Linked DNA regions of Oryctolagus cuniculus. The protein of the gene in region 2 purifies or fractionates together with the protein of the main gene of each other region. This does not show direct contact. Links are inferred from orthologs where the notes say so. Each region holds a gene or a part of one and is shown on either strand. Other genes may lie near its edges.

What was found.
Region 1: the proteins of RAB14 (region 2) and GDI1 purify together in Homo sapiens (affinity purification with mass spectrometry; 3 studies listed by BioGRID and IntAct, counting the BioPlex papers as one, with this or other methods). This does not show direct contact. The link is inferred for Oryctolagus cuniculus from reciprocal best matches to the Homo sapiens genes RAB14 and GDI1.

The regions. Positions count from the first base shown.
Region 1 is NC_091453.1:132,666,971-132,671,214, reverse strand, and holds the start of GDI1 (rab GDP dissociation inhibitor alpha), read right to left. Parts: upstream 3,074-4,244; coding exon 3,029-3,073; intron 1,818-3,028; coding exon 1,710-1,817; intron 1,576-1,709; coding exon 1,476-1,575; intron 1,330-1,475; coding exon 1,195-1,329; intron 722-1,194; coding exon 523-721; intron 287-522; coding exon 155-286; intron 1-154. UniProt on the Homo sapiens protein: Regulates the GDP/GTP exchange reaction of most Rab proteins by inhibiting the dissociation of GDP from them, and the subsequent binding of GTP to them. Promotes the dissociation of GDP-bound Rab proteins from the membrane and inhibits their activation.
Region 2 is NC_091432.1:225,199,625-225,203,858, forward strand, and holds the start of RAB14 (ras-related protein Rab-14), read right to left. Parts: upstream 2,962-4,234; 5' UTR 2,829-2,961; intron 1-2,828.

The DNA.
Region 1 (4,244 bases), on a different chromosome or scaffold from region 2:
TTCCTGAGTCTGCCTCCCAGGGCTTTGTGCTGGGGCTGTGTCCCCATCTCAGATGTCAGAGTAGGAAATGCTGTGGAAATCCCCAAGGGAGGCATTGCTATTGTTGCTCTCAGTCCCACTTAGTCATCCCAACTACACAAAGCCACGTTCTCACCTTGCAAAGCCCTGGGGCAGCTCGCCCAGGCCGTAGAGTGGGTATAAGTATGGGCTCTTGCCATACCGGGCCAGGGACTCACTGTACAACTTGATACGGTTAATGGTCTCCAGACAGGGCTGGTCCAGGTAGCTGGGGGGACAGAGGTCAGGGAAGATGCTCCAACAGGCTCCCTGGCTCACCCCACCACCCCGAATGGCCCAGGGGAGCCGGGGGGTCAAGTGCAGGGGAGGGGCGGACAGGCAACAGGGGAGCCTATGGCTGAGTACGAGAAATGTGCAGGGTAGGCAGAGGGAGCAGTGGGCAGGTGTTGGGGAGGCAGGGTAAAGGCCAGGCAAGGGGACCGCGCCACACCAGCTTCCCCTCACTCATCAGTGCGGTAGAGTGCCAGCGCGTGGCCAGTGAAATCAATGACATCCTGGCCCAGGTCAAACTTCCGGTATACGTCACGCATGCTGGTAGTCTGGGGATCGACGCCCTCAAAGGTCTTGGGGTCATTCTCATCAAAGTTTGCCACAAACACCAGGAACTTGCGGAAGCGCCGTTTCTCAAACATGCCCATCAGATCTGAAGAAGGCGGCAAGGGGGGACCCTTTGCACTAGAATACAAAATTCTCCTTCCCGCCCCCCCCCAACCCCACCCCCGTGGGCTGGCCGAGAAAGCTGGCATCCCGGCTCCCAGTGAGGTCTGTCACATGACCTTAGCGTAATCTACCTGTCTCGGCCTCGGTTTCCCCACCCATGTGAAGAGGGGGTTGGGCCGGGCACACTCTGAAGGCCCTCTTGGCTCCGACACTTAGAGATGTTCCAGGGCTCAAGCGGAGCCCCTGTCACAGGCTTCCGAAAAGGAGCACCCTCCACTCCTCTCTGCACGCGGATCGCCCTGCTAGCAAGCCGCTGTGAGGTGAGGCACATGGCAGCAGCAGGAACAGAGCAAGGGCCATCTGCTACCTCACAGGGGATGCAGCCTCGGGCGTACAGTGGCCGGCTCCCGGTGTCTACCTTGCCACCCGCCCTGAGGTCGGGAGACCCACACTCACTGGAAGCCAAGGCCTCGGTCTCAGTGGATGGCACTTTGTAGATCTTGCCGCCTTTGTAGACAAAGCTGCCCTCCACCACCTTGAAGTCCAGGTAGCGAGTCACCTCCGTATACAGGAGCATCTTTACCAGCTGCCCTGTGGTGGGGACAACATCAGCACAGCTCCCTGCAGGAGCTCTGGCCAGCCTGGCGGGCCCTTGTCTGGAGCCCAACCCCCTCCGGTCCTTCCCAGTCACCACCGCGCCCCTAGGAAAACCGCAGCAGCTCCTCCATCTCCCTCACCATTGGCCATGAGGAATTTGGGGATCAGGTCAACGTTCCAGTCTCGGCCCCGGCCCATCGACTCAGGGGGCCCCTCCAGCAGCTGAAAACGCTTATATAACTGTAAGCAGGAGGGGGAGAGAGAGAGACACCTCAAGGACTGGCCCTCCCTCTCCCTGCCACCCGCTGCTGCTACACTATGGCTCCAGTGAGAGGTTTCCAAGGGCCCGGCCTGGGCCAGGCTGGCAGCCTTACCTCTTCCAGGGGAGTGATGGAGGAGCTCTCGCCCCCATAGTAGGGGTTCCGGTCCATGTGCAGCACCTTCTTCCCGTTCACAGACATGATACCAGACAGGATGCACTCCTAGGGGTGTGAGGACAGCCGGTGCGCTCCCACCTGCCCACTTCGCACCAGCAGCCCTGATCTGTTCTCCTCCCCAAGCCTGCCACAATGGACAGCTCCTTCCACGCCCCCAGCCTCCGCCGCCGCCGCCTTGCCTAACACTGGTGGCGATGGCTACATCCGCCCGTCTCCTTTTTTACCCTGCTAAGCAGAGGTGAACCAGAGAGAAATAATGAAGGAGTCGGGGGAGACAGAGTGTCCAGCAGACACAAGGACAGTCTCATGGCACCGACTGCCAAGAAAGTCCTCTATCAGTGCAGAGCCGCACAATCCGGCAGATAAGACACAATGAGGCACACAGCGGACCTGGCCAGGCCGCAGAGGGCGCCCAAAAGGGAAGTGAAGAAAGGCACTTGGACTCTCAGGCCCCACCCTCGGCTGCTCCGTCGTCAAAGGCCAGGAGCCCCTGACCCTAAGCCTTCCCCACCTGGGCTCAGGAGGGGCATCTGGGCCTGGCCTGAGGGAAATGTGTCTCTCAGGGGAGCGGGTGAACACGCTGTGGGGGAAGGGGGACGATGAACATTCTCCCTAGTCACTGTCACCAGCCCAAGGACAAAGGCTGCAGATATTGCTCAGCCTCAGGTCTCCATGGGAAACCAGGGTGGGGGAGCGGGAATGTGGTCACTGCCCTCGCTGTTAGTTATTCTGGAACATTCCCTGGCTCTTCTGATCCCAGAAGCAGCCAGGAACACAGGACGAGGCCCCAACCTGGCAAGGCCCCCTAACCCCAGGTCCTCGTACTTCACCCCTACTAAGATTAGTATAAGTTGGGGGGGCACAATACTAGGAAGGTGATGGGTGGGGGCGATGGGTGGGGACTGGATGGGAGGGACTGGGGGGCATCAGGCCGAGTGGGGGATACGTTTTCCGGCCCAGCAGGGCAGGGTAGGGAAGATGGGAGAGGCCGGGAGTCGGCACCAGGGAGTCAAGGGAGCAGCCAGGAGACCCCGCTTCGAGGTCATGGCAGCGAGCAGAGAAGACGTCGCGAGGCCAAGGGGGCTGGGGAGTGGGGAAAGAGAAGGCAGTGGGGTGGGTACGGGGCTGGCGTTTCGGGGACCCAAGGGCAGAGGATAGGAATGATGGGAGGATGGGTTTGGCGGCCAGCGGCTGCATCATCGCAGGGATTCGGGAAGGCACGAAGCGGAGGCGCAGGCGCCCGAGGCCACACTTACGGTGAGGCCGGTCCCCAGCACGATCACATCGTATTCCTCGTCCATGGTCAGGCCTTGGTACCAGCGCCCGCTCGGCTCCTCCTCCCGTTTCACCACAGCAGCAGCCGCCGCCGCCGCCGCCGCCGCACTGGACCAAAGATGGCGGCACTTCGAACGCCGCCTGACCCCTCCGCCGCGTCAAAAAGTCCCAACACTTCCCCAGGCCCCACCACGCCTAGCAGTGATCACCGCTTCCCTGGCTTGCCTCCTAAGAGGGTTGCCGGTACTCGGGCCCTAGCACCAGTGCGGCTCTGCCGGCGTCGCCGTTTGCCAAGGACCCAGAGGAAGCTAGGCGGGGCGGTCCGATGACCGGTACTGCGGTCCGAGAGGGATCCGTGCGCGGGAGCCGCGCGCGCCCCGCCCCGCCCCGCCCCCCGGGAGGCTCCGCGCGGCCCCGCGGGCCGGGCACGCGCTGCTGCAGCAGCCGGGGGCGGCCCCCTCACGACGCTGAAGCTGCCATTGTCGCGGCGACCGCTGTCCCGACCACTCCTTCCCTACCTTAACCGGTTAGGGGCCCAGTTTGCTAAAAGAGTCCCTGGCGGGCCCTGGCTCCTGGATTTTGGCCTGGCTGGGATACATCTAGGGCCACCTCCCCCCCTCCCCGCACCCGCCCGCCCTCCTGCCCTCCTCCCATCCCTCAGTCCAACGCTTTCCTCATTTCTAGTCCAGAAACGAATGACAAGAGGCCCAACGTGTGGCGACCCATCTTTATTTTATTAGGAAGGAGACAATGGAGCATGCCAGGCTCCTGCCAGGCGCTCCTGAAACACAGTGGTCACGCCCAGCCCACCTGTCATGGAGGTTCCTTCCTCCTGAAGTCACAGAAATAAACCCCAGCACAGTGTTGATTGTTAACACAACATCACCAGGATACAACAACGACAGCCAAGCGGGACACAGAAGTGGTCACTTCCACATTCTGCCAACCTCGGGCAACCTGAAGCTCTTGGCTGCTGTAGGGAGCCCCATAAAGCTGGGGGAGGGAGAACTTGCTACACAAAAGCGCTATGTACAGCCAGAGCTTATGGTAGATAGAGAAGAATAAATAAGGGGAGGAGAAAGGGGACCCTAGAACTAATGCCCCTGTGCTTTCCCATGGCTGACCCGGGAGACAGGCCTAAAATCTATGCAGAATATCTACACCTTGTCAGGAGGGCTGGGAGAAGCCTCGGGGAAG
Region 2 (4,234 bases):
ATATAATTCCAATATGCAAACTGGATTAATAATAATGAAAGAAAAACAAAAACTCCCACTCATAACATTTCCAACGTATTTCCCCATTTACCAATGATATAGGTTAATCATATGATTTGGCCTCAAAATAAAAAACCAACACCCAATAATAGAGGATGGTTTTTTTTTTTTTTAGTTCTTTTATAGTTTAACTCACGTTGACAATATAGTAATGATCAAAATGACAATGTCATCTCTGCCTTCATGGAAGGCCAAGAACAGAGCATTCTGATTTGTTTACAAGCCCACTGAAATGGAATGACACTTCATTTGTCAGACAAACATAAAACTTTGGCAGTCCATCTAACAATCTGATTTAATCAAAATGAGTGGTCAATTTCCTTTCCTCAACCATAGTAGTCTCTGAAAATAACCCACTCACTAGCAAAACATTTAATGCCATACTTTTATATAAATTAATAATGTAGATAAGAAAAAGTGACTAAACTGCTTAATGTGTCAAGAGAAAAAAATCTTGCAGTTAATTATGCTGGTGTGCTATGAATAGGAAACCAAAGTACTTCTACATTGCACCTCTGTTCACAGAAGAAAAACATTTAATGACAATCCCCTCCTGCCACAAAAAAACCTGCACTTACCACTAGAGTTAAAAGGATTAGTAAACAGTGAGAAGTTTAGTGATGAGATCTGCTTCAAAATAATTTGGCAGGGAAGAGAAAGGTTTATAAAAATGAAGAATGATTATTGTTAACATTGGCTGGTGTGTATCTAAGACTCAGTAAATTATTTTATTTACGCTTAAAACTACCTAAAATAAAGTTTTTTTAAAAAATAGGTACAGTATCTCTAACATGTATTTGTACATTGTTTCTATCCATGCCTAGCATTTTTAGATATTTAAAAAAGTAAATCACTCAATAGTTTACTGTTTCAACCAAAAGTTTACTCCAATAGTACAATATTTTACTAAGATTATGCAAAAGTATTTGATATTGATAAAAATCTGTACGATCTGTAAGAACACTAAATTCTGTGCAAAATTAAGTATGAACAAATACAACCCTTAACATGAAAAATACAAAAACTTTTTAAAATGTAGCTTTAATTCCAAGAATTTCGTAACTGCTATTCGAATGTGAAGATTTTACATCTGACAACAGCCATGTATTGAGTGTCCCCAGCTACTTTATAACCTCTAACCCTAACAGTTCATTTTACAAACAAATAAGGATGCCAGGTCAGAAAGGTGACAGAGCAGTGGTCATATGCTATCAGACGGAGAGCTAGGATTAAAATCCAAGTCTAATTCTTGAGCTCTCCAAAGCCATGCCTCTCAATCAACAGATATTAAATACCCAGCATGGGCGTGGTACTTCCCAGGCATTACCTATATGCCATGCAATGTCTAACTAGCATTTAATCCTCACAGCAACTCTAAGATGCAGGACTACCACCCCTTTATAGGTAAGGACAGAGTCTCAGAGGTTAAGTAACTTGCCTAAGGTCTCCTAACGAACTAGGAAGTGGCAGTACTGGAGTGGGAACCCCAAGACTCCCAAACGCTAAACCACTACATGCCTCAAGACATGACCAAGTAAAATCACCTCAGCAGAACTCAGAAGAAAAATGGCTGGAAAGGCACAGGGGAAACAGGTTGAAGGCGGGCTCACTGGACTTGAGGTTACCTTGTCCTCAGTAAGCACGTGTAAACACAAGGCAGCCGGGACAGTAATGCGGGGAGCAGTGAACTTCGCAGGAGTTGCCGTCTGCGCCCTGACACTCCCCGTGGGCCCCCGGCACGGCACCTGCCCACTTCTCACACGTCAAATGGAACTCCTGCCTCTCTGCTCCGGGACTGAGAATGACGGTTTCTGACAGCGTCGCGACTGCCAGAGCTTCGGGTCATCAAGAAGCAATCAGCTATCAGCCAATGCAAACAGAGGGGAAAAAACGGGAAAGGAGTTCTGGCTATACCTAAAGTGCCCGTTGTCTGGAGCCCCCGCCGGACTTTGCGTGCAGCTCAGAAAGCAGCAGCCAGTGTGGGGAGAAGCCGGTGTGCAGAGGCCACCATGAGCCACAGCACAACTACAGGCCTCAGTTTCCTCGCCCCTAAAACGGTGACAACTTAGCTCCAAGGCGCGTGTGTGCGCGGACAGGCTCCTACGTCCGTGCCCCGCACACAGCGGCGAGCACGCCCTCCACGCACTCCTGTCCGTTTCTTTCCTTAAATTCCAGACATGCCACAACTCTCTCCCTCGCTCACGACGTCTAGACACGAGGCGTGTTCAGGGCCTCGCAGGGGCTCCCCAACACCCGTGCTTTCGCACGCACACCCCCCCCAGCCCCCGACCGCGACCCCAGCCACAGGCGGGTTCCCCCACGTCGACAAGGGCACCGGCGCCGGCCCACGATGCCAGCGGCAACGCGAGCGGCTGCCTTTTGTACTCGCGGCTCGCCGCGGCCTACCCCGGAGGGGCACTCGGCGTCCGGGGCTGGGGGCGGCGCGGCGCGCGGGGGTAAACACCGCGGGGGCGGCCCCGCAGCGGGGCCCGCGGGAGACGCGCCTCCGGCCAGCCGGGCCGCGGTGGCGGGGCAGGCGAGGCCCGCAGCCCTCGGGCCGGCCAGCAGCGCTGGGGACACCTCCGCCTCCGCGCGGGGGTCCTGTCAGGCCGGCGCCGCCGACTCCAGGACTCGCCGCGGCCTGGCAGGGCCTGGCCCGGGGCACCGCCCGCCAGCGGCCCTGCTCGCCGCCGTCCCCACCCTCGCCCCTCGGAAGGGCCGGGCCAGCAGGCCTTGGCCGGACGGACACTGCGGAAGGCCTGGGTTACCTGGGGGGTTGCTGGTAGCTGGGCAGCTTTCCGGGCGGGAGGGGGGCGTCAGGACGAGGAAGAGGAGTGCGGCCGCAGCGCGAGTCGGGGCGGGCGCGGTCGGCCGAGGCCCCGGCAGGCAGGCGGGCTGGCCAAGGGGTGCAGACGCGCCAGCGGCAGCAGCGGTGGCAGCGGCGACTGCCCCTGAGGCTCCCTCAAGATCTTCCTCGGGTTGGTCCAAGATGGCGGCGCTCCCTGCACAGGGTTTCCTGTCACCCTCGCAATGGGCCGGACCACAAAAGAAGGGGGGGAAGGTGCGCGCGCAGCTGCGGAGCCCGGAAGAGGGTGGCCGAGGCGGGTCCGGTAGCCACGCCCCTTCCCCAGGCTTCCCCTCTGGACTCGTCGCGCCGGCGCCGAGGCCCGCCCCGCTGGCTCTCGTGCTCGGAGGGGCCGGGGACCGCGCGTGGGCGCAAGCGCAGTGGCGAGCCCTCGCCTCCTGGGGAAGTTACTTGCGCAGGTTCGTGCGGACCTGGTGGCGTGCGTCTTTGGAGGCTTGGCTTGGTCTTGAAGACTTTTTTGTTTTTTAATTATTTTTAATGCCAGCAGCTTTTCGTTACTGGCACCTTACTGTAAACTGGCCAGTGTTCTGAGGACTTACTGCTTTCCCTCAAAATGTGTTTATTGGACCTCAGGAGGCACATGCCACGTTTTTATCTGGCCGCACTGAGGCTCGGGTTGATGAGCTCGCTGCGCTGTTTCACCTCTGTTTCTCTTAACCTTGCTTTGCGGGTGCCTTTGACAGGGAAAGGGAAGCGCATTGATCACAGTCTCTCCACCACCTCCCGGATCCACCTTGGCCCACCAGTATCACTGCTCCGAAAAGCTGAACACGCCTCAGTTCAAGGCCACGTTTCTTAGACTCTGGGCACTTTGGCTTTGTGTGTTGTAGATATTTATTTCCATATTTATACTTAATTTATGTTTTACAACTCCAGCAGGATAGAGATGAGCATATTAGTAGAACTTTTTCTCGGACCTACGCATTCATTTTTTTCTTCTTAAAGGAAAAAGACAGTTTTGTGGGGCCCCATTTGCACTGCCAAGTTGCCTGATGGGTAACACAACCCCACCTCACTCTCCCTCCAAAATGGACTTCAAGCTTGCTCTTGGCATTCAAGAACTTACAGAAACTGATTCTGCCTTGGGTAGATGATGCTCCATTGGAAAACTGGGAATTTATAAATATTTTATTTTCAGAAAGGTTTGGGTGTGAATACCTTCTCTGCAACCCAGTGGTAGGCTGATGGGCATGTCTCTTGATTTGATTTCTTAGAGCCGCAGTCTTTTCAGCAAAATAAGGATAATGGTTGTCTCTCATGGGCCTTTGTGAAAATTAAATGAGATAATATATGCAAAATGCTTGGCAT